2 linked regions of the Arabidopsis thaliana genome follow. The protein of the gene in region 1 interacts with the protein of each later gene in a pairwise test. Each region holds a gene or a part of one and is shown on either strand. Other genes may lie near its edges.

Region 1 (16,256 bases):
CGAGAGTGTATCTATATTTTCTCTGGAACAAATCACAAAAACTCGACTTTGAATCATTTTCTACCATTTTGGTCATAACCTGAAAATAAAACAAAAATCACTGAGACTTTACATTGTTCTATTTGTAAAAGAGTGTATATAAACTAAAAGTAATTTATAATAATAATACTATCATATATATTATAAAACTCACTTCAATGTCTGAGGCTTCACGTGAAATATCAGCATTTCCCCCCCTAAGACGAAGAAGTGAATTTTCTAGTTCTTTATCGGAGCCAACTTTTGCCTTCAAAAATTAAAATAGTTTAGCTTCATTTCATTTCTTCTCATGCATGGTTAATAAATTATGTAATGGGGTTTCTTAAAAAATATTTATAATAAATGACCAACCAGCCATCTTGGGGACTCTGGTACGAAGAATAAACCGATTACTTGAATGAAGCATGGTAAAGCACCTAAACCAGAAAAATACACATTTATATGTATAATCTTGTAATATAACAACTCAAGGTTTTCCACATTCTTCTTGCTATTTATTCATCTTTTACTGTATGTAAATTATCTTTTCCACATCAAATATAAATAACAGTTTTACTGTTAAAAATCATAAATTAGTAACATTTACCTAATAAAGCCAATATCCTCCAGTTGAGAAAATTCCCAGAAAAATAAACCATTGCGAGTCCAGAGTTTTGAAGGAGCTAATAATCAGTCAATCACACGAGAATCAAAAGGGTCAAACTCAAGAGAAAGCTAACAAGTATAATATAAAAATTTACACAGATTTCGTTTTGACATTTTAAAAAATACGAAGACATATATTGGATTTTGACAAAATTATTATTTACTCAATATTTGATAAAAGTTTTGTTGCTTCTGTCGAGATCATATATGTCCCCACAATTGATTTATTTCTTCTGCTTAGTTCTAGCATAATTTGGTCACATGGGTGAGAAATTCTATATTTCTATTTTTTGTGTCGATGCTGATCCTTATATATTTATAGAACAAATATATTACCTGATTTGTAAAGGTAAATGTACCACGAACATGTTTTGGTGAAATTTCTGCTATATAGACAGGTACCTGTTCAGTAAATAGCATTAAATTATTTTAAAATAACTTTATATATAGATGATATAAGTAAATAAAAACAAGGTAATTAAGGCTATATTAAATATATTAGGTTAATTACCACATAGCTAATTAAGCCGAGTCCTATCCCTGAGGAGATTCTTCCGAAGTTCAACCACATCACATCCTTTTGTGTTCCAAACATAATATAAATGATTAACTAATTCTTGGGTTTCATGATAAACAGTTTGTTAATCTTCTAAGTACTAACAGTACAAATAATAAGTTTGCGGTCCCAAGTTTGTGGTAAGGAATATTTCACATACCTTAGCGAAAGCGATGGAGAACCAACCAATGATACAGAGGAGATCGGACACCCACATTGTCTTTAATTCGTGAAAAGCAATATTGTCATTAGTAGCAAACAGATACGAAAATATACAAAAACATATATACGAAAAATTTTAGTCAGAAAAGGTAAAATTTGATTATCAAACCATACTTAAGAATATGAAAGAGTGAAAATGTAATTAAAGTACTTTTCTTCTGCCAAGGATGATCGCCATTTTACCGCTAAACAAAGCTCCAATTGCAGCTCCCAAAGTGGATAATGAAGCAAATGCTGAAAACTGTTAAAAAAATATTAACTCAAAGACAAACTGCAGAAGTTGAGTTTAATATTTTTTTTTTATTGCGATATTAATTTCTAAAAAAAAAAAACTTATATATAGTTTGTCATCTATCTATTGAATGGTATTTTACAACTATATGATTGAATGTTATTTTACAATTCTGTTTTCGGTGTATTTCATTTTGTGTATCTTTAATAAATATAGAACTATAACATTTTTCGTAAGGTTACTATTTATGATAAGAAGTTCGAAAAAGGAGTAAAAATGGAGGTGACCCCCACAAGCCTACAAGCCAACCAAGTGCAGCTTCATTGGGATAACGACAGCATATATTTCTCTTCATAAGAAATTATTAATTATTACAATCTGACAAAGAATAATATGGAATTTAAATAGATGTGAAATTTTAATACTGATCTAATAGGACTATACATAAATTCATGTCTATTTGGACAGCTCTGATCACCTCCCTTAAGTACACTGATCATCTCCCTTAAGACACTGATCAATGTCACAATGTGTCTTTTCGCCATCTACCAGACTACCACTATTATTTTCTTTTATTTACATTACGGTTAATAACTTAATATAAACAACTTGTGACTTGATTAATTTAATAAATGTTGATGGAAAAGAACAAAAGATAGACATACTTGGGCGATTTGCACAAGAAAAAAAAAGAAGAAGACATACTTGCGCGATAGAAAGATCCAAGTCCTTCATAATTCCTATCTCTGCACCTGAAGTATAACCAAGCTGCCAAACAAAAAAAAAAAACAAAAAAAAAACGTTTTAATTTGTTTTTACTTGTTAAACCTTGAGCTACCCTGAATAAATTACTTGTTTCTTAGTGTGTAATATAAATGCAGTGGCTTATTTAATAGTAGTCGTCATTGGTTCCTTAAATTAGGTTAGGAAGACAATCTTTACATCCACTTTTTCGCCGGAATTTTTCAGGCATCGCCGGAAATTTTCCTATATGGCTTAAACCATAGTTGTAGGAGTTGTAAAAATCTCAAGATATAAGAGTTTTCTACTCCGGTCTCGGGTTTAATACTCTCTAGAAATATAGTGAATCTAAATCTGCCCTTTCTTGGTTTTTAAAGTTTTTTTTTATGTTAAACCCATAGCATGGGGTTGTAATTTTTTCTTCTTTTAAAGGTAAAAGATATGTGGTTGTAATTATCCTTGTAAAGTTTTTTCGTTCCCAATTAATACAATAAGTTGACAACAGAAAGAAAGAAAAAAATTCTTTTTACTATATCAAGAAAAAACTAAGCAAAGAAGAATGATGAGGATAAGAAACTCACAGAGACACCAAAGGAGAAAGAACCACACACAGCGATGAAAGTACTAAGGATAACACAAGCAGTAATACGACATTCTGAATCGTCGTTTTGGTTCTTGAGCTGCAAAAGCCTTTCTTCTATGCTTCTTTCTTTCTCCACCACCATCATTTTATGCATGCATGTAATGATACAACACAATTTCTGGTAAATAAAACAGTGAGTGCTCGAGAAAGAGACAGAGGTAGCGAGACAGAGGAGAGTGTGAGAGAGAGAGAATGCTCTGTTTGTCACAATGTGCTTCTTATTAAAGGAGGGACACATGTTTTCTTTAATGGTTTTATGTTATGTCACAGTTTGACAAAAAACAAAAAGTTATGTCACAATGGTAATTCCATTCCATTGAAAAATATATTATTGGAATGCTTAGTGATTGTTAACTCTTAATACTTGATTTTTACTTCAATTGGGGGGGGGGGGGAATATATCTAAGGGATTGGATTGTACTTAACTGTATGTGAGATTTTTTTATTAATTTTTATGTTTTATTAAGGAAATTATGGGTCAGATTATTATCCAGTTAAATTTTATTGGTTTAAGAAATTAAAGTTTTGCACCAAAAGAAAGAAAAGAAATTAAAGTACAGCTATTTTAAATATTATTCCATTTTATCACATGTTATAGATAATCTTTTGCTGCATTTTATTCGATTTTTATTTTTCTAACCTTAAATCTAAATTTTATTTTATGTTCTCTAACTATTTGTATCTTAAAAAAACAAAACTATGCGTTGATTTGTTTCTATGTTAACAGATGTTTTTAAGTTTTATTAAAAATAAATAGTGTATTTTTTTTAATCTCCCTTTTTTTTTTCAAACTAAATTGTCTTATAAAAAAATTTGTTTCACCTTGAAATCAATACAAAAGGTGGTATATTATACATCAGAACAAAAATAAATCAACTTCGAGTTGGTCAAATGGTTAAATCCATGGATTACTGAAAACGTAGAGATTTTGGAGATCACGGGTTCGATACATGTAGGAAAGAGTTTACTCTCTAGAAAATAGTTACATCTCCTAGTCATAAAAATGAAGATTAATTTGAAAGTCACTTGTGCTTAGGATGAAAAAAAAAACCTTAAAAAGCCTATGATTAGAAAATGAAAAATATCATTTTATGATCGAAAACCCGATAAATTGCTCCTTATACACAACAAAGGACTAAGGACCAAGCACTTATCATACATTTCACGCAGTCAATGTATTTTATGTAATCAATCCCTTTTCTACTATACATGGAGTCAGGAGTTCATACCTACTTACTAATGCAATGTACTTACCGTGTAAATATATTGTACATTTGATATGGTTTTATTGAATCGCATAACTTCGGTTCCATATGAATTTTCTACTTTCGATTCCATCTGAGAACCGGTTAGATAATCATGTAACAGCAACCTTCCGTTCTACTATACATTAAGGTCATTTACACACAAATGCAACACCTAACTATCATTCACACAATAATTAATCGGTTTACTTGGTTTTGATCAGCTAAAAATGATTACTTTAGAAACAAACTATAGCTTTTGAATGCCAAAAACAAAAAAATATATACCTTTTGAGAAAAACGGTTGTTTACATAGAATCAACCAAACTTACATGGGTTTCAATTATTATGTTTTGTACTAATTAATCTTAACTCAATCAAATTGCATTCACGTGTTTGTCAAATTGTCTTTTTTTTTTGTGCAAAACATAATTGATTTCATTCAATCAAACCCAAAAGAGGAGAAACAAAGGATACAAGTACTTGAAGCACATTCTTACAATAAAGATAAGATAGCTAGGATAAGTTAAAAGCATTGAGGATAGACCCATAAAAATTTTATGATAAAATCTCAGAGACAGAAGCTAGCTAGCAACATGCCACAAGCGAGTTCTTGGTGTGTCAAAGAGACTTCCACGAACAATTCAGGTATTTTAGAACTAGTCACTATCAAAAGATTTTGTGACGATTACTAAAGGTACTTAGTCTCACTATTCGCCGGCACAAACGACAAATGGAACCAGAGCCAAGGTTCTTTCCATGACGGGGAAGCTTGGATGGCGAGGACCCTTGAAGTCAGGTAAGAATGAAATTCTAGATCGGAAGCTAGCTGGATGTGTGTCGGGGAACAGTTAGCTATGGTTCGAAAAAGCTTAAGCAAAAACAGGGAAATCACAACTCCTAGTTTTGGCCGCTAGATTGAAGTGGTGTCAAGATGCTTCAGTGGATAGTCGATGAAGATAACGTCCGGCAGAGATGTGTCTAAATTGACACTCCGGGATAAGCTCAGTATATTCACGGATAGAGATAATAGATGCGGTAGTGATAAAACCTTCAAAGACAAAAATTCATAGATGGTTTTCCAATCTAAGGTTTCATATTCTTCAGCCAGAGGAGATATTAACCACAGGGTTTGTGAGACAGATTTTCGTTTCAAAAACATGCAACACCATAGACAGATTGTCGCTTCAGGGCATGAGTAAAGTCCTTGGTCAAAACAATATATTACTAGTGATGAATCGAACCTAAATATGTTTGTTTTTGAAATATCTATGTGGTTCCAATGCATAATCTAATTAATATTAGCCATCAACTTACAAACGTCAGAAATTTGTCGAATCAACTTACCAGCACGCATGATGCATGGTGGTCCACAAATGTTATCCAATGTTAAATCAAATTTATGAGATATCACGTTTTCGAAATATATAGTTTTCTAAATATACTAGCTACTTCATATTAAACAGCAATATTAGGACTTAACAGTTTAGATTAATTAATCGCATGTTTATTGTTCATCATTAATTACCCTAGTTACCCAATACTAGAAATCAATCTCTTCTTTAATATATGTCCGAAAAATATTACATTTGCAATTTTAGAGATAAAATACACATGTACGTAGGCCAAGTTTTACATCTCGTAAATATACATCATAAAAATGGGGCTAATTACCCAGAAAAATAAAGTAGTAATTACATAATGAAAAAAAAAAATCCTTGTTTGTAAATAAACAAATATAACACCATAAACTGAATTTGATCATTTTTATAATAAAATAAAATAATTCAAATTAAGTTTGATTTCTTTCATCGGGCTGATGAATAAGTGAAACTTGTATTTCTTCGAGTGATAATCCTTTCGTTTCTGGAACGAGCAACCATATAAAAAGCAACGCTGCTCCACCGATACCCGCGAATATGAAAAACGTTCCTATTACATTAATTAAACTATATAAGAAAATTATAAATTAAATGCAATTATAATATATATATATATATATATAGACATTAGGAGAAAATAAAATAAATACAAACTATATAACATATTCACTCAACCAAAAATTTAACTAATTAGTCTTTTAAAATAAAATAAACAAATAGTTGTGTTATAAAATGTATATGAGGTTTCATTGAAATGCTATAAACACAGACTTTGAAAACTATATAAGTTTTCTAGACTTAATCATTGATTATTTCTATGCGATATACAAAAAAAAAGGATAAGTTATAACTTTTTTTGTTGATCACAAGATAATTTATATAACCAAAATTGTATAAAATGGATATTAAGAAAAAGAAAAACATAATACCTTGAGTGCTCCATTCGAACAGAAAGTTGAAAGCGTAAGTGACGATTGAACTACTTGAAAATGAGACTAACGTAACTATACTTCCTGCAGTTACTTTTATATTTATTGGAAATATCTGCACACACCAAAAATCATACATATATTACTTTATTTTTCAAGACATATTACTTACTTCCTGCATAGAAATAAAATTAACAGTGAAGTAAATTTATGTACCTCCGACATAATTACCCAAGGTAGACCTCCCAAGCCTATTGCATAAGTTGCAATATACATCTGCCGATTTAAAAAATATCAATTTTAACTATATTTTATATGTAAAAGAAACATCAACGTAAATATTTTCATCAAAAAGATTGTGTACAAGGAGATATAATGTCTTACCATTACGCATATAAACGATAATATTGGAGTTAGTTCCGAAAGCAATTGCATTTTCTGCTCATGCAAAAACATTGTTAAACAAATAAGTTATTGGTTTAAAAACAGAATAAATAAAAATAGTAATTATCTTACAAAAAAAATAACCTGTAATGTGAAGGCGACCCCAAGTAGCATGCAAGTCATGCTCATCCCAAACGCTGAAGTCTATGTCAAAATAGTAATCAAATCAATATAGACTAATAGATTTGAATCTGCGAACAGCCAGAAATTATTTAAAGACATGCTCACCATCAGGAGAGGACGTCTGCCCCATTTATCGACAAGAATGAGGCCAATCATGGCTTTTGGAATCTGCGAATAGCCAGATATTATACCATTCAATGCTTTCACGAGTTAAAAGAAAAAAAACTAGTACATGAAAATTCTTAGTTCAAAGAGTTCATTAAAGTACGAAATTTTAACAAAATAAAAAATGTCGTTTTTTCAACTGTGATAAAATGTCGATTAAAACGCCAACATCACACAAGTTTTGTTTTTTTTTGAATATTTGGAAGTTGAAACCCAAAAATTCTATATCTCCTAGAAACGCGACCTATACCAGGTTAAATAACATCACACAAGTTTAGTTGCTCAATAACAACAGATTTCAGAGACGTAGTTTCATTTCTTAAATTTTGCATCCATATAGTCAAACAAAATTTGAGAAAAACATTTATATATACTTACCACGAAGATACCTAGCATCGTCGTTCCAATGGCCACCGAAAAACCTGTTTCCATCCAGAACAATTATTGAGCAAAAAAAAATGGAAAGAGGAACTCATGGTAAATATTTACTAAAACCCTTTCTCTTAAAGTATTTAGAATGAGCTAATGGCATCATTTTACAAAATAAATACACAATTTAATTTTATTTTGAGAAATCTTAGGAGTTCAGGACCTTTGCCCATAATCTATTGATTGGTAGAATAAAATATGTTTTGTTAGAAAAAAAAACATTCTCAGAGAAACTGAAACTTCTATGCAAATCTTCACTTGCAGATTTGAACAGATTGTCATATAATATATATATAGTTATTATTATTTCTGACATTTTAATATAAAATTAAACATTAATAAAAATAAATGAATGCTTACCAGCTTTTCTAAAAATGGTACTTGCATAAGAGATTACAGCAGCACTTCCTGAGAATTGTTGTATCAACATTAGCCCGATTCCTACCTGAGATATTAATTAAAAATGAATGCTTGTGCAGATAAATTAAATATGAAAATTTGATACTCTAGAAATTAGTTTGATGTACTTGTACGTACCACGAGGGTGTATCTATACTTTCTCTGGAACAAATCTGAAAAACTCGACTTTGAATCATTTTCCACCATTTTGGTCATTACCTGAAAACAACACAGAATTATTCAGACTTTACATTTTTTTATTTGTGAAGGAATGAAAATATAATTTCAAAGAAAAAGGGAATGTATATTTATTGAAAATTATATAAATTATAACTGATAATAGTATATAGTAAAACTCACTTGAATTTCTGAGGCTTCACGTGAAATATCAGCATCTCTTCCTCTAAGCCGAAACAGTGAATTTTCTAGTTCTTTATCGGAGCCAACTTTGGCCTTCAAAATGAAAATAGTTTGGTTTAAATTTTTTTCTTCTCATGGTTGATAATAATTAATAAATTACGTAAAACACTAAAGAAAAATTAAATGACCAACCAGCCATCTTGGAGACTCTGGCACGAAGAATAAACCGATTACTTGAATGAAGCATGGTAAAGCACCTAAACCAAAAACGTATTACATTTTTATCAGTTGATTTGCTATAATATAACAGCTGAAGATTTCCAGTTTTTTTCTACTATACATTTAACATATTCTTACGTCTCAAAACAATTTTTTCACGATGAATATGGAATTTATAGTCTTACCTAATAAAGCCAACGTCCTCCAAGTGATGAAATTCCCACAGAAATAAATCATGGCGAGTCCAGCGTTTTGAAGAAGCTAATAATCAATAATTACACAAGAATGAAACAAGGATCAATATACTCACGAGAAATTTTGAAAAGTTTTAATTTGGATTTTGGTTGGTTTGTCTTAGACTAGTTTGTGCTATTTTTTTTTTTTGTCAGCACTCATTCTTATAAATATTCTAAAAACCTAAAGTATTACCTGGTTTGAAAACGTAAATGTACCACGAACATGTTTTGGCGTAATTTCTGCTATGTAGACAGGTACCTGCTTGGTAAATAAGCAAAAATTACAGATCAGAAAACAAACTTACAAAGATGATATTAAATAATAATAATAATAAGTTAATTACCACATAGCTCGTCAAGCCGAAACCTATCCCTGAAATGATTCTTCCGAAGTTCAGCAACACTACTTCCTATTGTATTCCAAAACATAACATAAATTTAATTATTGGGTTTATAATAACCATAAATTAATTGGTTTGTTTATTTTCTAAGAAATAATGTTTGAATGAAAAAAAAAACATGTTTATGAATAGAAAATAACTAGTAGTACCTTAGCAAAAGCGATGGAGAGCCAACCAGTGATGCATAGGAAATCGGAGACCCACATTGTCTATTATATCATAAATAGCAAAAATATTATTATAAGCATCATATATACGAAAATTATAGTCACGAAAGAACCAAAAAAATAGAAGAATGGTAAAATTACGAATATGAAAGGTGAAATGGTTAAATTAATTACCCCTCTTCTGCCAATGACCATTGCCAGATTACCGCAGAACAGTGCACCAATTGCAGCTCCTAAAGTGGCGAATGAGCCAAAAGCTGAAAACTGAGAAAAAAATGATTTATAACAAATATAGTTTTCATATATATAGTATTATTATTATTATTTTTAATATATATATATATATATATATATATATAATATTTCAATATTTCAAATTTCTATTATTGTAGATGAGAGAATTGGCCGGAGAATGGTTCTGGAACGATGGAAACGTTGATAGCTAGATAATGTTTTTATAAGATGATTTTGACAACCGCTCAATATATCAGGATATATGTGCATATATATAGTTTTGGTAGGGTTATTATTATGATAAATAATGTTTTTTTTTGGATGATTTCGACAATTCCATATATATCAGGATAATATATATATATAGTTTTGGTAGGGTTATGATAAGAGTTTAAAAAATGGGTAAAAAAGGAGGTGAACCACACCAACAAAGAAGTATAATCAACTCAATGGGATAACGACAATCTATATGTTTCTTCTTTAGAATTGATGGTTGTTTGTTTCAATTTGAATGAATAAAGAAACAAATATTTACGGATTTAAAAATGATGTGAAGCTTGTATTTTGATAAAAATTGAACGATAATTAACCTAGCTATTTTTTGCATATGTCAATATGTCACTCGCTCTCAGTTGCTTAATTATACACAAAACTTTGTTTGTTTGTTTAAGGATGATAGTATAAAAGAATTAACTTTGAATGGATGTGGTTTTTAAACTAGTTTTTGGTTTTAGTTTTTTCTAAAATCTATTTTGTAACCATTCAAAATTTTGAAAAAACAAGTTTTCTTAAAAAAATAGGGAATCTAGTTTTTGAGTGTTTTAACAACTTTTCAAAGAAAATCAAAATCTATGTTTTGAGAGTTTCTCTATAAAAAAACCATCGATCACATTTTTTATTTTATTTTTAGATTTTTTTTGTAAAATAAAATATAATCCATTAACATAAAAACCAAAATCTAAACAAATTACCATTCAAGTTTTTAAGAAACTAAAATCTACACCAAAAACAAAAACCAAGAAAATCAAAAACTAAAAACCAAAATCCAAAAACCATTTTAAAAACTACAAACATTCATGGCCTTAGTCTTTTTTTTTTGATAAAATTTGCTACTTGGTTAATTTTCAATACATGTTTTTAGAAATAGAAGAAAAACCGTAAAAGAGAGACATACTTGCGCGATAGAAAGATCCAAGTCCTTCATAACTCCTGTCTCAGCACCTGAAGTGTAACCAGTCTGTATAAAAACAACAAAAACTATAAGAAAATAGGTATAACGTAATTATGAAGTATGTTTTCTTTTCATACAATTTTGTTGTTTTCATTTGTTCTTCTATAGAAGAAGAAAAAATCAAAGTAAGGTAAAGTAGAAAACTCACAGCAACACCAAAAGAGAAGGAGCCACAAACGGCGACAAAAGTGCTAAGGATAACACAAGCAGTAATACGACACTCTGAATCGTCGTTTTTGTTCTTGAGCTGCAAAAGCCCTTCTTCTATGCTTCTTCCTTCCTCCATCACCATCCCTTACACTTGCATGTACTAATATGACGAAACTTATGGTAAAGAAACAGTGAGAGCTAGAGAGAAAATGCTCTGTTTTTAGCAAAAAACCAAGAGAGCTAGAGAAAGAAGAGAAAGAGAGCGAATGATGTGTTTGTCAATTTAGACTACGTATAAAAAGAGGCTGGGAATTAAAAATGGTTATTTTGGTTTTCTACTCTTTAGGGGTTTTGGATTGGAAAAGCTAACGTGTGGACGTGAGACGTTTTTTTAAACAAGATCAAGTCAAATTTCATTAAACCAAGTTTTGTTGTTTTAAATTATAAAAATACAGCTAAGTATTAGTATATGATCATTCATCATCTGGATTCTAAAATAGTTTGACGTATACAAAATGCTAAACACTTTGAAAAAATATCCTTTAACCAGCAAATGGTGAAGACTTCTAATTAAGGGTTGGATTGGAAAGCTAACGTGGACGCGTAAGACCTTTTTTGTAAGACTTTGGGTTTTATTGGTAACCAAAAGCTGTACAAAATTTTTATTTGTTAGCTTTATCGGAATAGTACAAAGCTGTTAAAAGGAACTGTATAAAAAAAGCTGAGAGTAAAACACTTTTTGTAACGTTTTTGATAAAAAAATTGTGATTGGTAACTGTCAAAACGGTACAAAACTGTATTGTTATTAAAATGGTTACCATTCAAACCCTTTATATCATTTTAAGTCAAATTTCATTCAACTAAGTTTTCTTCTTGAAAAAATAAATACAAGTACTATTTAAATTATTATTATATGATCATTTGTCATGAGCGTATTCTTAAATAGTTTGACGAATTAAAAATACTGTAGTATGAAAAAAATATTGACATATTCTTTAAAATACCAAAGTTTTTTTTATAACAAATTATAAACAACGATTAATCGTCTATAGCGAATGATCCTAGTTATATGTCAATGTGGAGAAAGCTCTTTTCACATATAATTGGAAGCAATAATCTGAGTCAGGACATATACGTTACCTTGGATCAACAAAAATCGACAGTTACTCTTTTTTTCTCTCTGAAAGATTATTCTCAACTTGTAAAAGTGACGTCTTCTCTTGTTGATTGGTCCCTTATCTCAACGTATCTAGATGGATTCACGATAAGTATTATTTTGAATTCCATGCAATTTAAATTATATTAATGTGTATATATTGCTGGTTTGGATTATGGAATATTTTAACTTAAATTCATATCTTTGAGTAAAAAAAATATCTCTCCAAGACTATAACATTATAAGTTTGAATGGTAACACAATACAGCTTTGTACAGTATTGATAGTTATCAATCACAAAAACTTTATCAAAAACGTTACAAAAAGTTTTCTTCTTAGATTTTTTGTACAGTTTTTTTATACAGCTCTTTTAACAGTTTTGCACTATTTCGATAAAGTTAACAGCTAAAAAACTTGTACAACTTTTGGTTATCAATCAGATCCTATATTCGGGTGTTTTAAGAAGTTTTCACTCGTAACCAAAAGAAAATTGGATGACGATGGAACTCCATATTTGATGTAGAAAAAACAATCATTTATAGTCATTCATAATCATTGGATGAAAACCGTACGTTTCAACCTTTTTGTTTCTTTTTTTACATTAACTTGTTTAAATACCTCACAAGTTATTAGAACCTTTTAGTCATTCTTTGATTGAGTTTGCTAATACTTTTAATTAAATGTTTAATTAATCATAATTTAACGTTTTTGTCCTCCGTTGTTATTATTCTTACGTGAGGATCTATATTTGTACCTGTTACCATCTAGAAATGGAACCAAGTATTTAATTTTATTCATCAGTCTGCTGCTGAATTTTAAATATTAGGAGATTATAAAAAAAGAAAGGTCAACTAAAGAATTCGTAACGCGTACGGATCAACTATAATATCAATAAATGCTATTTTTGACAAATTATCAAATCTACAAATATTTTTAAACGCTTAATGACATATCTGTCCAAATAAACCATACAGAAGGAGAAATGATTAATGGAACTATATAACTAACGATAGTACTAATTTAAGTGTTGTCTAAAATTTTGTATAAACAACTTTAATCTAAAATCGGATAGACAGAAACATGTTAGAATTCAACATGTTATCTGACAATTAATCCATATGTAATTGTACATACAAATAGTCGTTTGGAATTTGAAACTACTAACTACATCAATTAATCATCGAAACGAAGTACATAGATAAGACCCTTGGAACATTAGATAGAGAACCAACTTACTTGCCTTAAATTCTCCTGAATCTACGATCTAATCCATTATATCCCCAATAATTGTCCAAACTACCTATTTATGGTTTGACTTTTGGTGCCTCTTTGGAAATTGACAATTTGTTTATGCAGTTGAACAAATCTAATTTGGACAAGCAAGCTAGCTTGCGTGGATAGGGAATCATGAATTTTGTTAGGATTAACATATGCATGCCATACCATCATTCATGATTTCTTATGTTGTGCTGCAAATTCAATTCTTCGGTGTAGAAATTATTTAAAGTTTTAATGTAAAACAATTTTTTTGTAAAATAAATAATCTGTCACATTTGTTTGGAAAATTTGTTTGGAAAATCTATTAGTTAAGTTTTGGCTCAATTGATTTATCTAATAATCATAAATACATGTAGTCTGATTAACCCTGTTATTAGTTAGAAAACATTTAAAATTTAGGACATATAATGTGGTGGTCTTTCGAAAAAACGTTCTCTCTGAACTATTTCAGTGTGCTTTTATTGAAACTCACCGGATCAGTCGATAGAATTAAAAAAAAAAAAAAATAGTCTACAAACACGACCCAGTTCAATTCAGAAAATAGTCCGTCTACAACCTATCTATATGACATTGTGATGTGTACTGCCGACAAAACAAAGTTGAATTAAGACACTCCTTTCATGTTTTACTTGTGAGCTTTTCACCAGACTAGAGTTCTACTTGTCTCATGTTTTAAAAAATTAAGAAGATATCAATTTAAAAATAATATGATTGCCATTTTGGATTTCTAAATCAATTAAAATATTGTGTCTAAATTTGTTAAAAGGATAATTTTATGGCGAATATTTGGATATTATTAGTTTTGTTGACTAACGATTTAACTAGTAGTAAAAACAGAAAATAAAAGATTAGATTCATGTTAATACAAATGAATCGGTACGCTAAATTACCTATTAGAAAGCTAAGATATTTTAGCAGAAAGGAAAACGATATTCCCTCTGTTATTAAATGATTGATTATATAGAGAAAAAAAATTGTTTCTAAAAGATTGATTTTTTAAGTTTTCTTTGTAATATTTATTGGTTAGTATTGGTGAATTGTAATTTTCAAGAAAAATAGTTAATTATCATTGGTTTAGAGTTATAGAAAACTGTAATACACAAAAAGTAATATATTTATAACCAATATTTAATATGTTTTTTAATATGTGTGTTTAAAAAAAAAATCAAGTTTAAAGAACAAAGGAAATATGAGATAATTAATTAAATTTTTTGTTTTTTTATTTGAAAATAAAATATTAAATTTATAGTATACATATAAATAAATCACCATGACAAAATGGTAGATGCGTGTAATTAAGTGAGTCACGTAAATTAAGAGGGCTAGCACTCCCGGCCCCGGGCACTCTCCGACCCACGTTTTGGTCCCCACGTTAATCATCAAAACACATTTTGTTTTGGTATCAATTAATCATTTAAGTTTCCCCACAATAGAAATCATTTTGGTGCATTCTCTATGCAAATTTATGGATCGAAATCGAAGTTAAAATTAAGACTGTTTAATGGGGAAAAGAAAAGAAGTTTTAAGACTAGCTAGTTACTACTAACTAGGGAAGTTTTTAACTATCATATGATTTTTTGTTGCGGAAGTGGATAAATATGACCCACTAAAAATCAAAACTTATTAGTCAACTAGTAACCGCTAGATAGTTCTAATGTTTACACTATCACTGACCTTCAGATTCATTGAATCTAGACAGGAGAAAGATCCAGCGTAAATTATTGGCAAAAGCGATGAGAAATATCAAAAATGACATTGATTCACACGAATTTAATTATAAACAAATCAATGGATTTGATGTTCTTCCATTTAAGACGATAATTACGGCTAAACCTGTAGTGTTTTTTTTATTCAAGTAATTTTGTAGTGATTTATCAAAACTTAAATTATTGTTGTATAATAATAGTTAAAATTTAGGTTCCGAATAGAGACAAAATCTAAATCGTAAATCGCACAATACGGTCCGGTTCATTATCATGTGAATCACACCGTACTTTATTCGTAGTTGAACGACGCATTTTTATTCGGAACGATAAGACTTTAGTGTTTGATTAGAGTAATACTGTATACCAACATTATATTATGGGCTGTCTGCCTCTGTCACCCTGAAATATATCAGTTCAACTACATTCCCCCCATACTTTCACTCTCTACCTATTTCCCCCTATACAAACTATATTCTTCATAATTCCACCCAATCTTACACAATTCCACCCAATTCACCAAAATCAATTAATCTCTCTGAATGCGTTTTAAAATTAATAATTGCGTTTTAACTTTGATAATCTGCTATTAAACCATTGACCCAACCAAAATCTCATAACCCAAAACAAACCTTCTGTTTGGTAAGGAAGGTTCGATTTATACCTTAAACCAAAAGGGGGAAAATTCTGAATTAGGTTTTCTATTTCTTCTTATGCCCAAAAAAAATAAAAAATAAAAATCTATTCTATTTCTTCTTCTTCTCCATCGACACTCTCTCCTTCTTCTTCTTCTACTTCTTCTTCTTCATCTTCTTCTTAATTAGTTTCTCCGGCGTTAATTGGAGTGGTTGGTCGTTGGATCATCATCTCTGGAGAATCTAAAGCGTGAATCTGAAGCGTGGTTGGGTTGAAATCACACATTACCCAC
Region 2 (16,290 bases), on another chromosome or scaffold:
TGATCATCTGGGGGAGATCAGGGACATGGGACAGCTGAGGCTAAGGTTTCAATTCTTTGCTAGTGCTATTCAATTCAACCTAATGCCTGAGGAACAACTCCTGAATGCTAGAGGCTTTGGTAACAAGTTCAAGGACGGCATTCATAGGTAGTCCGTGGAAGCATGCTACTAATATTCCTAAATAATTTTCTGTACAACGCTTGACTTGACTGTACAAGCTGTGAAATTTTACTTTTGTTAACGCAGATGCTGCATATAATTAAATTTTTCAATATTGTAATAACTTGAGGTTGTGTACTGTATGCAGATTGAAGCTAAGGTATGGATTTGGGAGGCCGTTTAAGAAACTTGAGTCGAATCAGGTCGAGGCCAACAAGTTTGCGTTGATCTGGAACGAAATCATCTTAGCTTTCAGAGAAGAGGATATAGTTTCTGATCGTGAAGTAGAGCTACTGGAGCTGCCAAAGAATTCCTGGGATGTGACGGTTATTCGCTGGCCGTGTTTCTTGTTGTGCAATGAGCTTTTGCTTGCACTGAGCCAGGCCAGAGAGCTGATAGACGCACCTGATAAATGGCTGTGGCACAAAATATGCAAGAATGAATACAGGCGTTGTGCTGTAGTTGAGGCATATGACAGCATCAAACATCTATTGCTCTCAATCATCAAAGTTGACACTGAAGAACATTCGATAATTACGGTCTTCTTTCAGATAATTAATCAGTCCATTCAGTCAGAGCAGTTCACCAAGACCTTTAGAGTGGACCTGCTGCCAAAAATTTATGAAACACTGCAGAAATTGGTTGGGCTGGTAAATGATGAGGAAACAGATAGTGGGCGGGTGGTGAATGTTCTGCAGTCTCTTTATGAGATTGCAACTCGACAGTTCTTTATAGAGAAGAAGACAACTGAACAGCTATCTAATGAAGGTTTAACTCCTCGAGACCCAGCCTCAAAGTTGCTGTTTCAAAATGCTATTAGGCTTCCTGATGCAAGCAATGAAGACTTCTACCGGCAGGTTAGGCGTTTACACACGATTCTCACCTCTAGGGACTCTATGCACAGCGTCCCTGTGAATCTAGAGGCGAGACGGCGGATTGCTTTCTTCAGTAATTCGCTTTTCATGAACATGCCTCATGCCCCTCAGGTTGAGAAAATGATGGCGTTCAGTGTTCTGACTCCATATTACAGTGAGGAAGTTGTATACAGCAAAGAACAGCTCCGAAATGAGACTGAGGATGGGATTTCCACCCTATACTACCTGCAGACAATTTATGCTGATGAATGGAAAAATTTCAAGGAACGGATGCATAGGGAAGGAATCAAGACAGATAGTGAGTTGTGGACAACCAAGCTGAGAGACCTCAGGCTTTGGGCTTCCTACAGAGGTCAGACATTGGCACGTACAGTTCGTGGGATGATGTACTACTACCGGGCTCTTAAGATGCTCGCTTTTCTTGACTCTGCGTCTGAAATGGACATTCGGGAGGGTGCTCAGGAGCTTGGTTCAGTGAGGAATTTGCAGGGAGAACTGGGTGGTCAATCTGATGGGTTTGTCTCTGAAAACGACCGATCTTCCTTAAGCAGAGCAAGTAGTTCCGTGAGTACGCTGTATAAAGGCCATGAGTATGGGACTGCATTGATGAAATTCACATATGTTGTGGCGTGTCAGATCTACGGGTCTCAAAAAGCAAAGAAAGAGCCTCAGGCAGAGGAAATTCTGTATCTGATGAAGCAGAACGAAGCTCTCCGTATTGCATATGTGGATGAGGTGCCTGCGGGAAGAGGAGAGACTGATTATTACTCCGTTCTGGTGAAATACGATCACCAGTTGGAGAAGGAAGTGGAAATATTCCGTGTGAAGCTACCTGGTCCAGTGAAGCTGGGCGAGGGAAAGCCAGAGAACCAGAATCATGCAATGATCTTTACCCGTGGTGATGCTGTTCAGACCATTGATATGAACCAAGACAGTTATTTTGAGGAAGCTCTCAAGATGAGAAATTTGCTCCAGGAGTACAACCATTATCATGGTATCAGAAAACCAACTATTCTTGGTGTCAGGGAGCATATCTTCACGGGATCAGTCTCGTCACTGGCGTGGTTCATGTCTGCTCAGGAGACAAGTTTTGTCACTCTTGGTCAGCGTGTTCTTGCAAACCCACTGAAGGTCAGAATGCATTATGGCCACCCTGATGTATTTGACAGATTCTGGTTCTTGAGTCGAGGCGGCATCAGTAAGGCTTCCAGAGTTATAAATATCAGTGAGGACATCTTTGCCGGGTTTAACTGCACGTTAAGGGGGGGAAACGTCACCCACCACGAGTACATTCAGGTTGGGAAGGGTCCACAATTTGGATTATTTCTAACTAACTATACTGCTACAACGTTTTTTTAACGTTTTTAACGTTTATTAATTATGCAATCTACTTTTGTTATAATTATGTAATTTAACGTTTTTTAATCTTCTAAATTCAAAAAATTTGAGTAACCTTTGTCTTTATGCATTTTTCAGGTCGGGAAGGGACGGGATGTTGGATTGAATCAGATATCAATGTTTGAGGCTAAGGTAGCCAGTGGGAACGGAGAGCAGGTTCTCAGCCGAGATGTGTACCGGCTCGGGCACAGGCTTGATTTCTTCAGAATGTTATCATTTTTCTACACAACTGTAGGGTTTTTCTTCAACACAATGATGGTCATTCTTACTGTTTACGCTTTCCTCTGGGGACGGGTTTATCTGGCTCTCAGCGGGGTTGAGAAGTCCGCTCTAGCAGACAGTACGGACACCAACGCCGCGCTTGGGGTGATCCTGAACCAGCAGTTCATCATTCAGCTCGGTCTGTTCACTGCCCTGCCAATGATTGTTGAATGGTCTCTCGAGGAGGGTTTCCTTCTAGCGATATGGAATTTCATTCGAATGCAGATTCAGCTTTCAGCTGTCTTCTACACATTCTCAATGGGGACCAGAGCTCACTATTTCGGTCGAACTATTCTCCATGGTGGGGCCAAGTATAGAGCCACTGGACGTGGATTTGTTGTCGAGCACAAGGGATTCACTGAGAACTACCGACTGTATGCACGCAGTCACTTTGTGAAGGCCATCGAGCTTGGGCTGATCCTCATAGTCTACGCTTCGCACAGTCCGATTGCCAAAGACTCGTTGATTTACATAGCCATGACTATCACCAGCTGGTTTCTTGTGATTTCATGGATAATGGCCCCATTTGTGTTTAACCCATCAGGATTCGACTGGCTTAAGACAGTCTATGACTTTGAAGACTTCATGAACTGGATCTGGTACCAAGGCAGAATCTCAACGAAATCTGAACAAAGCTGGGAAAAATGGTGGTACGAGGAACAGGACCACCTGAGAAACACCGGGAAGGCAGGATTATTTGTGGAGATCATCTTGGTCCTCCGGTTTTTCTTCTTCCAGTATGGGATTGTATACCAGCTTAAAATTGCAAACGGATCCACCAGCCTTTTTGTCTACTTGTTCTCATGGATATACATCTTTGCTATATTTGTGCTCTTCCTAGTCATCCAATACGCCCGTGACAAGTACTCGGCAAAAGCTCACATACGGTACAGGCTTGTCCAATTCCTCCTGATCGTGCTTGCTATACTGGTGATTGTTGCTTTGCTCGAGTTCACGCATTTCAGCTTCATCGATATCTTCACAAGCCTTCTTGCATTCATCCCAACTGGCTGGGGAATTCTGCTGATCGCACAGACTCAAAGGAAGTGGCTGAAGAATTACACTATTTTCTGGAATGCTGTTGTCTCTGTTGCTCGCATGTATGACATATTGTTTGGGATACTCATAATGGTTCCAGTAGCGTTCTTGTCATGGATGCCTGGATTCCAGTCAATGCAAACGAGGATATTATTCAATGAAGCTTTTAGCAGAGGACTTCGCATCATGCAGATTGTCACTGGGAAGAAATCAAAAGGCGATGTCTAAGTTTAAAAAACGGTAAAGCTCCTTGTTCTCAACACCTTATGTTATGATCGTTTAAATCCTGGATTTCACACCAATGCGGGCTTTAAATTTGTGTAGGTCTTAAGAAGTAAATGGTAGTTCAAATCCTATTGGTATGTGGCGAAGGAATCAGTTGGAGGTTAGTTTTCCCGAAACAACCGAATTCGAAGTTTTGTTTCGTCTAAAGAAAAACTCAGATGCTGATGATTTATCTTTGTATTTTAAACAGGTTTTTGGAGAGTTTGGTTGGATGAGGAATCGGGAAGTTGGTTTGATTCGGTTAGATGGGTTTAGGGAGATATTTGATTGTCAGTGTGTGTGGAGGGAACTCTGATTCTTGTATGGTTTTTGTTCTAAAGGTACAGCAATTTGTGTAGTGAGGCTTTGTGTATTTGTTCTCCTTCTCTCATTATAGAGCTTTAGAGCATTTTTAGTTTATATTCAGATTGTTATCTAATGTCATCTCGCAGAGCTTTTGTTCACATTTCACATCTTTTCTTCTCCTTCTTAGTAGAGATCAGTTTCAGATTAGATACTTGTCCATATTCCACTACTCTCGTCTATTATCGGTTTCTGCTTGTCAATTTCTGGGTCCAAAATTGAAATAAATTTATATAATTGGACCACAACACCACTTTGTCGGTTTTGACTTTTCTACTTGGATGCTCCTGAACTTCTTGCTCCCTTTTCTATTACAAATTGGGAAACAATCAGTGTGAATTGGGGAATAAAAAAAAACAGAATTGAGCAATTAAAGCCACGTGGCAAGAAATCGACGAGGGACCAACGTGTTTGTCTGCAAGATCTAATCCTTTTATTAACAAAACGGCGACTGATCTAACGGGAAACTTTTAAAATCGAGAAATTGTTAATAATAAATTCAACTACTTCTGGGCCATCATCATCAATCTTGTTCGTCTTCCTTTTGATCTTATCAAACTACAGTCAAATCACTCAGAGAAAGCTACTAGGTCTCTCCTCGACATTTGCTTTCAATTCGATCCAGTAATTTTCTTCTCATCGGAGAGAGAAAAAAAAAATGGAAGACCCGTTGATTGGTAGAGATAGTCTTGGTGGTGGTGGTACGGATCGGGTTCGTCGATCAGAAGCTATCACGCATGGTACTCCGTTTCAGAAAGCAGCTGCACTCGTTGATCTGGTTCTCTTATTCTCTTACACCCTAATTTTGAATTCGTTTTCCTCTTTGACTTTTCAAAAAGTTTCTATACATGGATCACATCGCCTCCAAGAGAGATTCTATGTATTTTATCAGTTCATTAAGTCAGTGTTTTTGTTAAGCTGAGAAGATGAATCGTTTCTTCTTCTGAGTGATTTCTTCGTATAAGGATTAGTCAATGCTTTTGTGTGTATATCCTCACGAAATTAGCATTGTTTGAAAATTGGGAATGGAGATATCTGTTGTTTCATTGTCTCTAAAGTCTTATGTCAAGAGGATTGTTGGATTGACTCTGATTTGTGGTATGTAGGCTGAAGATGGTATTGGTCTTCCTGTGGAAATACTTGATCAGTCGAGTTTCGGGGAGTCTGCTAGGTATTACTTCATCTTCACACGTTTGGATCTGATCTGGTCACTCAACTATTTCGCTCTGCTTTTCCTTAACTTCTTCGAGGTCAGCACATTTCTTTGGTATACACCAACCTTGCTTGAAAAATTTATAGAAAATCACAACTTGAAAGTAATCACACACTTTTCCTGTCTTTTGCAGCAACCATTGTGGTGTGAAAAAAACCCTAAACCGTCTTGCAAAGATAGAGATTACTATTACCTGGGAGAGTTACCGTACTTGACCAATGCAGAATCCATTATCTATGAGGCAAGTAATTACACTTAAGTCTTGTTTGCCTTTGTTTTTTTGCTATAGATGCATAGATTTAGTGCAGATGGGCTCATGATATACATGTACATCCACTTGAAAGTTTAAGACTTGAATTGCCTTATGTTTGTTTTCTTTAAATCTTGAGAAGCCTTGAGTATTTATTCAAGACTAGTTTATCTCGTTTAATTCGTCGTTAAGAACTTAATATCAACACTCACATCTTATTTTGGATATGTTTATTATAAGGACTGGCCAAGATCCTTTTCTCATTGTGCTGAAATTATAATATTCTTTGCTGTCCAAATAGGTGATTACCCTGGCTATACTCCTTGTACATACTTTCTTCCCGATATCCTATGAAGGTTCCCGAATCTTTTGGACTAGTCGCCTGAATCTAGTGAAGGTATTTCCTTACTAGCCACTTCACAGTTTTGTGTTTCTTCTTTTTGTTGAAAATCGATCAGAAAGTAAGAAATTCCTTTTCTTCGTGCAACAATTTGTCTTCATATTGATTCCAGGTTGCTTGCGTGGTAATTTTGTTTGTTGATGTGCTGGTTGACTTTCTGTATCTGTCTCCACTGGCTTTCGACTTTCTCCCTTTTAGAATCGCCCCATACGTGAGAGTTATCATATTCATCCTCAGCATAAGGTATCCGTAGATCTCTGCTTCTTTTCTATCAACTATATGGGTTATATGTCTTTATTTCTATAGACAAAGATGCGCAGATCATGTCATGTATGATAAATGTCGACGTGTGATTATTTGACCTACTATTCCTCCTATTAAATCTCTAAATACAGCACATTCCCCAAAGTTATGATTCTTTACATTTCTGTACAGGGAACTTCGGGACACCCTTGTCCTTCTGTCTGGAATGCTTGGCACATACTTGAATATCTTGGTCAGTGGCCTTCCCCAATCATTTTTGACTTTCAGATAAGTAATTAACTCATATTGATTGTCATCCTATTTACTTAACTCCTTGAATATTTTCACAGGCTCTATGGATGCTGTTCCTTCTATTTGCCAGTTGGATTGCTTTTGTTATGTTTGAGGACACGCAGCAGGGCCTCACGGTCTTCACTTCATATGGTGCAACTCTTTACCAGATGTTTATTTTGTTCACAACATCCAACAATCCTGATGTCTGGATTCCTGCATACAAGTAAGTATTAGGTGAAATCCCATTTGTGTCTCAGTTTGCTTGTATGGCGTTGCATCCAGTAATTTAGTGACTTATTTGTTCTGTCCTCTAAGGTCTTCTCGCTGGTCTTCGGTGTTCTTCGTGCTCTACGTGCTAATTGGCGTCTACTTTGTCACAAACTTGATTCTTGCCGTTGTTTATGACAGTTTCAAAGAACAGGTGGATTAAGGATTTGATGTTTGTATGGTTCTTATGTCAGCTTTTAAAACAAAAGTATTAACCTCTTTTGACACCTTGTGTCATATCATATCTATTCTGTTTGCAGCTCGCAAAGCAAGTATCTGGAATGGATCAAATGAAGAGAAGAATGTTGGAGAAAGCCTTTGGTCTTATAGACTCAGACGTAAGTTCATCTACGCATAGTGATTATATCTACTCCTAGAGATATCCGGAGAAGTTCTCCTTGGGCAAAGATCTTCATGAATGGAGAGTCTTTGTATAGTTAACCACTTTGCTGAGCATATATTTCTTCGTTCTTTATTTCATGTTTTAACAGAAAAACGGGGAGATTGATAAGAACCAATGCATTAAGCTCTTTGAACAGTTGACTAATTACAGGTTTGTTGCTATGATCTTTGGTATTTTCAATCTTTCCTATGTTTCGAAAAAGAAATACATCTTTTATATACTTGTTTGTGGTTTCTTCCCTTTTGTATGTTAACTTGTGAGACCTGATAATGATATGCATTCATTTTTCCTTATAGGACGTTGCCGAAGATATCAAAAGAAGAATTCGGATTGATATTTGATGAGCTTGACGATACTCGTGACTTTAAGGTAGAGATCTGTGAAGGATGTGGCACATATGATCAGGATACACCTTAAGATTACTATTCACCTAAACCTCTTGACGACTAACAGATTCTTTGTCCCCTTTTTGTTTCCTGTTGAGCAGATAAACAAGGATGAGTTTGCTGACCTCTGCCAGGCCATTGCTTTAAGATTCCAAAAGGAGGAAGTAGTAAGTTCACATATACTTTATTTTCCTTCTCTCAAAATTTACTTACCTCCACCATATGTTTACATTAGCGATCCTTTTTGTTTTCATTGCAGCCGTCTCTCTTTGAACATTTTCCGCAAATTTACCATTCCGCCTTATCACAACAACTGAGAGCCTTTGTTCGAAGCCCCAACTTTGGCTACGCTATTTCTTTCATCCTCATTATCAATTTCATTGCTGTCGTTGTTGAAACAACGGTATATCATGTTCCCATATTTCTTTGACATGCGATTCCTAATTCTTTCATAAGCCATAACAGATTTTGGTATGCAGCTTGATATCGAAGAAAGCTCGGCTCAGAAGCCATGGCAGGTTGCCGAGTTTGTCTTTGGTAAGAACTTGAATAGGTTTCCACTATCTTCTCTCCATTTTGTATTTTTCTTCTATTTGATGCTTTGTGAAGTGTATAATCTATGGTTACTGAGAAATATGATGAAAAGATGAAGAATGAAATAGAAGTTAAGCTATTTCCTGTGTTATTACACTGAGTAGAGTACTTCTATGGATCATATTAGATTGTAACAGCCGAATTTTATTGACCACCTTTTCAGAGTCTTAACTTTTTCTTCTTTTAATTTCTATCTTTGAATGTTTTTACAGGTTGGATATATGTGTTGGAGATGGCTCTGAAGATCTATACATATGGATTTGAGAATTATTGGAGAGAGGGTGCTAACCGATTTGATTTTCTAGTCACATGGGTCATAGGTAACCTATTGAAGCAGCATTTTCATCTTGTTTTGCTGATTGAGTGATTGATGGCTATGCTATAAGTGATAATCTTTGTATCTGCAGTTATTGGGGAAACAGCTACCTTCATAACTCCAGACGAGAATACTTTCTTCTCAAATGGAGAATGGTGAGGAATAACGATGACATATTTGTTACAATGGTCTTCTTTTGTACTAACCCAGACTCTGGTTCTCATTGATAGGATCCGGTACCTTCTCCTGGCGAGAATGTTAAGACTGATAAGGCTTCTTATGAACGTCCAGCGATACCGAGCATTTATTGCGACGTTCATAACTCTTATTCCAAGTTTGATGCCATATTTAGGGACCATTTTCTGCGTGCTGTGTATCTACTGCTCTATTGGCGTACAGGTAAATCAGACTACTGAGTTTTTTGTCTGAAAAATGCAAGCTTATGATGAAGCCTTGGTCAATGGTCATTCTCGTCATTTTTGATTATTCTAAGCCTCTTGAAATTCTTCATCTTTCCGTTCATCTGAATGTTTTAGGAACCGCTGAACTGCTACTCTCATGTGTTTTCCCTGTCTTCTCTCACGGGTTCTATTTCCCAAATCAGATATAAAAATTTCTTCATCTCATTTCTCCGTAGGTCTTTGGAGGGCTTGTGAATGCTGGGAACAAAAAGCTCTTTGAAACCGAATTGGCTGAGGATGAGTATCCTTTTTAACTTTCTGAAAAACTTTTAATGCACTCAACACAGTCTTAGTACACCTTCTCTGTTCCTGTGATTGCTAGTGTGTTTTTAATTTTTTATTACTGGGGTAAAAACGTTTTCAGTATAAGATCGTTTCTTGACGGGAAAAACTCAGCTACCTTTTGTTCAACTTCAATGACTACCCCAATGGAATGGTCACACTCTTCAATCTGCTAGTTATGGGTAACTGGCAAGTATGGATGGAGGTAATTTCACTCTTCTGTTAGTCCCAACTTTAGACTCATTATAGTTTCCAACAAGAAGTATCGCAAGATTCATTGGAGCTGAGGAGGCCAATGCTAGATGTACTATAAACAGCTTGCTTCTTATTTGCCAATCACTATGGTGCAATGGTTTTAACTACTCTTAATTTCTTTCAGAGCTACAAAGATTTGACGGGCACGTGGTGGAGCATTACATATTTCGTCAGTTTCTATGTCATCACTATTTTACTTCTGTTGAATTTGGTGAGTTTCACTGACGCCAACTCCTAAGAGCTCGATCAAACAGAGGCCATGATTGTTGTAAAGAAACTTAACTCTGCTTCTTAGATCGACTTATAATGCGTGTTTGTTTCAGGTTGTTGCCTTTGTCTTGGAGGCGTTCTTTACTGAGCTGGATCTTGAAGAAGAAGAAAAATGTCAAGGACAGGTTTGTTATTGTCTTTGATTCGCCATAAAGTTACAGATGTTGGGGAGATTAGAAAAGTAAAGAACCTTTTGGTTCGTGTTCAATCGGCAATGTTTTCATCTCGTTATTGTATCGTTGCAGGATTCTCAAGAAAAAAGAAACAGGCGTCGATCTGCAGGGTAAGTAGATAGGTCAAATTGTTGGTTGGTAATATCATACTAGACTCAAAATCTGAAGGTTTATTTTGTTTTTATGGTTATTAAAGGTCGAAGTCTCGGAGTCAGAGAGTTGATACACTTCTTCATCACATGTTGGGTGATGAACTCAGCAAACCAGAGTGTTCCACTTCTGACACATAAAACAAAACAAGATCGTTAAGAGCTTATTTATACGTTTATACTGTGAATCTTTGATTCTATATGGAGAGATCAATAGAATCTAGAAGGTGACTAAATTTTTTCTTCTTTTGGGTGAAGATTTAATATAAGACGATTGTGTTATAATTTGTCATGAAAACATATGACTATATGACTATATGAGCATCAATTTCTTTAACACTTTTGTAATGTTTACTGAGTTTTACTTTGACCTTTTAAAATGTAACTTTTATTAGTAAAAAATCCAAAAGAACATGAAATTGGAAGAGTACCTATCACTAGTAATGTTTTGAGAATTAGGCTTCCTTATTAGGATTTTTGCCAAAATAGAAATCTCTCTTTAATTGATCAATGTGTGATAGTGATATTCCGAATCCTCATTACTAATTGAATCGAAAAGATCTATGAATTGATCAAAATATCCGCTCAATTGGCTATAATTGGTTACTTGAACAAAACTAAAATTGTAGAATCATATTAAATATTTGACGATACGACTTTCGATATTTTCCTAAAGCATCCGATTCGTGCGAATTTGTCTTCCAACTAATGAAGAGATTTTGGTGGAATTGCCACATATGAAATTGAGCACAATTTTGCAAAGAAATAGTCCACTCAATATCATTTGACTGAATAGTTGACCCAACTCATTGTTGTTTGAAGAAACCTTCTTTTCAATTGGTATTTTTCGCGAAAAGGAAACATTAAATAACCATTCCAGCCTTTCAATAAGATTTCGAATAGCTAAGAGAGATATATTGGACCTTACATTTTGAATGATTTGAGTTTTAGTGGGGTTTCTATGGTTTTAATGATTTTAGGAAAGTTAATGTGATTTTTTTGTAAAAAAATTTCAAATTCCATCTAAAATCATGAAATTTATCATCAAACACATACCCCAAATTTCTCATGACTCTTTATACTTTCCTCTAGTCTCACCCATGATGATACAAATCTCACCAAATCACTAGTCATTTAAAAAAAAAAAAAGCTAAAAAATCAACCCAAATATTTTTAAAATTACTCAAATCTCAAATATGGAAATTCCACCGATAGAGACAACCACTGATGAATCCACCGTCGCTTGCTCTCTGAACAAGGACATATCCGACTCCGACACAAGAGAAGATGATTATTCCTCCGACGGAGAAAAAGAAGGAGAAGACTACGAAAGCAACGGAGAAGAAGGAGACGAATATGATGGCGAAAGCAACGAAGAGGAAGATGATGACGATGATGATAACGAAAGCGACAGAGAAGAAGGCGATACGGAAAGAGAGGGAGAAGACAATGGAGATAGTATAGTGGACGATGGATATTCAACAAACGATCAACCAGAGTGGGAAGTGGATAACTTCGATGATTTATATAGCGATTTCTGTTCACCTGATGAAGACTGTTATACCGACGAAGAAGATGAGCGTAAAAGACGTCTTTATCGTCGAAATCTCCACTTTAGTCGTGTTCGTATATACATGATTCGAAATTTAGGTTTTGTCTTTTCCTAATTCAAATGTTATTTAGTGTATAATGTAATTTGTTGGGTTTTTGTTTTGAGGTTTAGGGTTTTCTGGTGGAAAAAGGGATTCATCCACGTTCCGTATGGATTGGTGCAATCTTACTTGAACCATTGGACAGTGAACATTCTCCGGTTAAAGGAAGGACACAACTTCAATACGCACAAGACATGGTCAAATTGTGTCTTCGCAAATACAATGCCTTAAAGGTAATTTCTGATTTTAACATTGTTTTGTTTGTTTAAGATGTGTGAATTGGCCTTGTTATTACTTGTTTTTATTTTTCCTTTGGTTGTGTTTTCAGGAAACCAATGTGACATTGGATCATGTTGTAAGAGTGACAGGGTCTTTCACTGGTAGGTGGGTTTCGTATATTACTTTTATGGCGAAAGAGTCTGAGGACGATGATACGCTTGTGGAGTATCAAGCCAAGGTTGTGAAGAAATTACAATGTAAGACTTATCCTATGTTTTGCAGGCCTAGTCCTAAGCTAGATCCAGATTTGTAGTTCAAGTTTTCTTTTAATCTTTGGATTTAAAACTAAATAATTTGATGATTACATCGTCGTTTTTTGCTTCTTGTTTTGGATTTATTCTAATGGATGTTTCTCCAAACATTAAATAGTATTTTCAGAGTGTTTATTAGACATATCTAAGATTTATCAAAACTTGAGAGTGCCAAATCTATAAACAAATAATTGTACACTTATATGGCCTTATTGGTAAAATCGTAAATAGTCGGCGCGTTTAGAGGTGTGCCGTTTGTTATAATGGAGGCTAAAGGGCATCGAGACATCCAAAGACTATGAATAACTTCAAACTGTTTAGGGAGTTATGTAAATTTTAGTTCATAAGAAAATGGGTGCTTAGAAAATGACCTTCCCCATTTATCATTACAACTAAATATGTGATATGACAGAAGAAGAATCAATTTGGAGAAAACCATTTGTTTAGCTGGTCTACAATAATTGTACTATTAACCCCATGGTCATGTAAATTAAACATTGACTAGTCCCCGTCTAAGGTAATGCTTATCTTTTCTTTTGCCGACCAAATCCCTAAAAATATTCAAGATTGGTCTCAACTCCGATCCGATTAGTCTTTTAAATTTTGTATCTTAATTAGTTTTTTTCTTTTTGCGGTCTGAATCAAATAGGATCTGCTCCTACCTTCTCTCGTTACGCTCGTGGCTATATCTCGTGCTATTATATTGGCTTTTGTAGATGAAACCTTAAACACGAGCGAACCAAAATTCGGAAGAATCCGATGAATTCTATCAAGATAAGATAAATACGTTGGCCAATTTATGGGATCACTAATGGCTTCCATAGACAGTCCGATCATATCTCAATGTTATCTAAGTGTAGGTCACGTAAACTGTGTAAGACCCATAAAACCCCTCTCAACTCCGCAGCAATACGATTTGACGCTGGTAAAAACATTTCTCGGGCATGAAAAGCAGCGTCCCCATGATGATTCCTGACAATCCAAGCTCCGCCACAGATGTGAACATCATTAAGCCAAGAAACATGTATATTACATTTAAGCGTATCTAGTGGTGGCTTAGTCCATCTAACTGCACATCTAGGATTCAGCGAAAGACGAGTTACAGACTGGGTTGGCATCGTCCTTAACTTGTTCCACACCTTAGATTCTTCAAAAGCATGAGCTATAAGTGCATTTAAGTCGCCTTGTGTTCCCGCCAATACCGTTGTGTTCCGATGTTTCCAAATTCCCCAAAGTAACCATGGATTGGCCATTCTCAGAGAAAGAGATAAACCATCGTTACTCATTAAGTTAAAGACAAAGTCTAAGTTATCAGTAATAGACGGTGTGAAACCATGAGTGGGCAAAGGGATGTTAACCCTCTCCCAAACTTCTCGAGCCGGCCAACAATGAAACAAGACATGACTAATCGATTCCCTATCATTTTCGCACAGAGAGCATGGCGATCAATGTCCTTGAAAACTGCTGACGGAGAGATAGTTATCTGGTTATGAATGATGTTATTCCGTTAGTGTGGAAAAGAAGTAGCCGAAGAGTTCTTGGTGAATCAAGGCTGGGGACCTACAAATCTCAGTAGTTCCCCTTCCGTTTTGTTTTGTTGTGCAGGATTGACAAATGGAACGAGAGAAAAAGAGTAGAATGGCTAATAAAGATGTACATTGTGAATTATATAAGAGTTTATCTACAGAGAGGGATATATAGGGAGATATATGTTCTACATGTAATCATGTAAAAGTATACTGCCTGCAAAAACACAAAACTTAGACATATACCAAGAATCACTTTGATCTTTTTTTGTCATCAAGAATCACTTTGATCCTAATGTATAGGTTTTTGGGTTGGTTTTTAATTGATTTTTGCTAGCAGTCAACAAAAATCAAATTTGTATTATTAGGTTTTAGGGAGGCGCTGAAAGAAAAAGTCAGAATCTGAGAGTCTTTGCGTATTTTAATTTTAGGTTTTGCTCTTTTTTTTCATGGTGGCTTCCTCAGCCCTGTACAACATTCTTTGGTTCAAAACGGTTTTGTTAGCATATTAGTGCAGTTTGGTTTAAAATTGTAAACCCGAACAGATTTTTGTGGTTTCAAAATTAAATTAAAATTGTTTTCTTTTGTTTATAAATGGGTAGCAAAATATAGTTCACTTACTTTAAAATTTCAACTCAAACGTCTTTTTGAGAAGTCCTTGCTCCCTTAAAAGTCTTTTAACTTTTTCCTAGTATGTGGATTTACATTTTTTTTTTCTCTCTTATGTCGTGCATCGACAGTTATACACCTTAGAAAAGGATAATAAGAAATTGTAATTCTAAGAGGTCAATTCAACTCTTTTGTTGTCATTGTTATTTTCTTTTTCTTTTTATTATCAACCGATTTTTTTACTTCAAATTACATATCTGAGTAATTTCACAGTTATATTCCAAGGATTCAAATGGTATGATTAGGATTGTTAGATCAAGGTTCCTCAGCTTTTGATGTTAGGTGAATTAATTATAACTTGATGAACGAAACGTTCCTAGATTGCATAATTGATGCTATGATGTTTTGTAAACATATCAACCATATTAACAATAGTGAAACCTTCATTAAAGAAGAATTAAGTAAAAGAAACCTTAATGAAATCGTGCAATTTCAAATAACAAGCGGCGCGGTTGCTGTGAAGAGCGATCTTTTGGGGTTTGGCTTTAGCAGCAGTAAGAGCCTCCGTATAGAATAGAAGCGCCTCCTTGTACTTGCCGTCTCTGTATAGCTGATGCCCTCTCTCCACCTTCCCTGACGCCATCGATGCCATACTCGGGGAGACGAAACTGTAGATTTATCAAAATGCTAACGAGTAATAATTGTAGAAAAAACACTAAACCGTAGATTTTTTATCAAGTACTTTACTATGATTGATTTGATTAGTATGTAGATGGTGGATTGTTCAGCAGTTAATCCTATATAAAATCATGCATGAAAATTAAATAGAAGATATGATAAAATAGATGAAATAAGTTGCTTAAACCGGGAAAAACATAGAGCAGCATCAAATATTTAAATAAGTACTTTAAGTTCCATAGAGCAAAAAGAAAGCCGAGACAAAACCAAAAGTTCCAATAATAATTAAAAAAAAAAAAGATAAGAGAAGCGATCAATGATGCTGATAAGTCATAGCAGAATCCTTAAGCATCCTTCTCCACAATGTTCTTGTTACAATCTGCAGCTCACCTTTCTCCTGGACACGTACGAGGTCGACTGATACAAACCAGTCCTTGTTACTGAGGCCTTGAAGAGCGGTTTTCAAAATCATACGATCCGACACTTGGGAAACACAGTTCATGTTCTTTGCAGATTTTGTCTGTATAATAAACATGAGTTTAGTTACTACAAAAAAAAAAGTTACCAAACTAAAAAAAAAAGTTAGAGATTATATATGAAGAGTCACCTTTGAAAGCAGATACGTTATCATCACTGTAAAGGAGTAGCCCCAAACGGGTATCAATACTAGTCTTCACAAAGTAATTAAGTGTTTTTGATTTCCCAAAACAAAACAAAAGGCTTTTCATATTCCTCTAAGAAAGAAACTCGCTTATAAATCTCAAACAGAGAGAGTGGAGTTTCATTTCTTCTTAACTTCATCAAAACCTTATTTTGCAGATTCTCTCTTTTCATCGTTTTTTCGTCTTCTCTCTTTTGGTTTATGACTGTTATTTATTGAAAGGGTTTGACCAGCTCATAACTTCTTTCTCTTTGGGCCAAATAAGTGGGCCTCACGTTATTTGAAGAGTAAAGAGAAGAAGAGTTGGGTCTTTGGTAATA

Evidence for each region.
Region 2: the proteins of SFP1 (region 1) and TPC1 interact in a protein complementation assay, tested with the Arabidopsis thaliana proteins (one large-scale study listed by BioGRID).

What each region holds. Positions count from the first base shown.
Region 1 is NC_003076.8:9,644,035-9,660,290, reverse strand, and holds SFP1 (Major facilitator superfamily protein), read right to left. Parts: upstream 11,784-16,256; 5' UTR 11,334-11,783; coding exon 11,190-11,333; intron 11,048-11,189; coding exon 10,985-11,047; intron 9,841-10,984; coding exon 9,751-9,840; intron 9,619-9,750; coding exon 9,559-9,618; intron 9,419-9,558; coding exon 9,353-9,418; intron 9,268-9,352; coding exon 9,202-9,267; intron 9,034-9,201; coding exon 8,958-9,033; intron 8,811-8,957; coding exon 8,746-8,810; intron 8,647-8,745; coding exon 8,554-8,646; intron 8,413-8,553; coding exon 8,332-8,412; intron 8,240-8,331; coding exon 8,155-8,239; intron 7,788-8,154; coding exon 7,744-7,787; intron 7,369-7,743; coding exon 7,306-7,368; intron 7,222-7,305; coding exon 7,162-7,221; intron 7,072-7,161; coding exon 7,018-7,071; intron 6,910-7,017; coding exon 6,850-6,909; intron 6,749-6,849; coding exon 6,634-6,748; intron 6,255-6,633; coding exon 6,115-6,254; 3' UTR 5,865-6,114; downstream 1-5,864. Other genes in the region: SFP2 (Major facilitator superfamily protein), read right to left, coding at 1-79, 194-286, 391-455, 626-701, 1,021-1,086, 1,196-1,261, 1,401-1,460, 1,614-1,703 and 2 more. UniProt on the Arabidopsis thaliana protein: Sugar transporter.
Region 2 is NC_003075.7:1,575,237-1,591,526, forward strand, and holds TPC1 (two-pore channel 1), read left to right. Parts: upstream 1-4,692; 5' UTR 4,693-5,016; coding exon 5,017-5,136; intron 5,137-5,464; coding exon 5,465-5,608; intron 5,609-5,704; coding exon 5,705-5,812; intron 5,813-6,122; coding exon 6,123-6,218; intron 6,219-6,333; coding exon 6,334-6,464; intron 6,465-6,656; coding exon 6,657-6,717; intron 6,718-6,814; coding exon 6,815-6,981; intron 6,982-7,073; coding exon 7,074-7,179; intron 7,180-7,285; coding exon 7,286-7,363; intron 7,364-7,516; coding exon 7,517-7,578; intron 7,579-7,724; coding exon 7,725-7,797; intron 7,798-7,915; coding exon 7,916-7,981; intron 7,982-8,073; coding exon 8,074-8,217; intron 8,218-8,293; coding exon 8,294-8,351; intron 8,352-8,620; coding exon 8,621-8,728; intron 8,729-8,815; coding exon 8,816-8,879; intron 8,880-8,954; coding exon 8,955-9,123; intron 9,124-9,361; coding exon 9,362-9,426; intron 9,427-9,581; coding exon 9,582-9,672; intron 9,673-9,846; and 9 more. Other genes in the region: GSL05 (glucan synthase-like 5), read left to right, coding at 1-147, 308-2,330, 2,511-3,959; AT4G03565 (Cystatin/monellin superfamily protein), read left to right, coding at 11,511-11,936, 12,038-12,199, 12,295-12,498; AT4G03566 (ribonuclease H), read right to left, coding at 13,330-13,782; AT4G03570 (Cystatin/monellin superfamily protein), read right to left, coding at 15,177-15,299, 15,719-15,829. UniProt on the Arabidopsis thaliana protein: Functions as a voltage-gated inward-rectifying Ca(2+) channel (VDCC) across the vacuole membrane. Is one of the essential components of the slow vacuolar (SV) channel.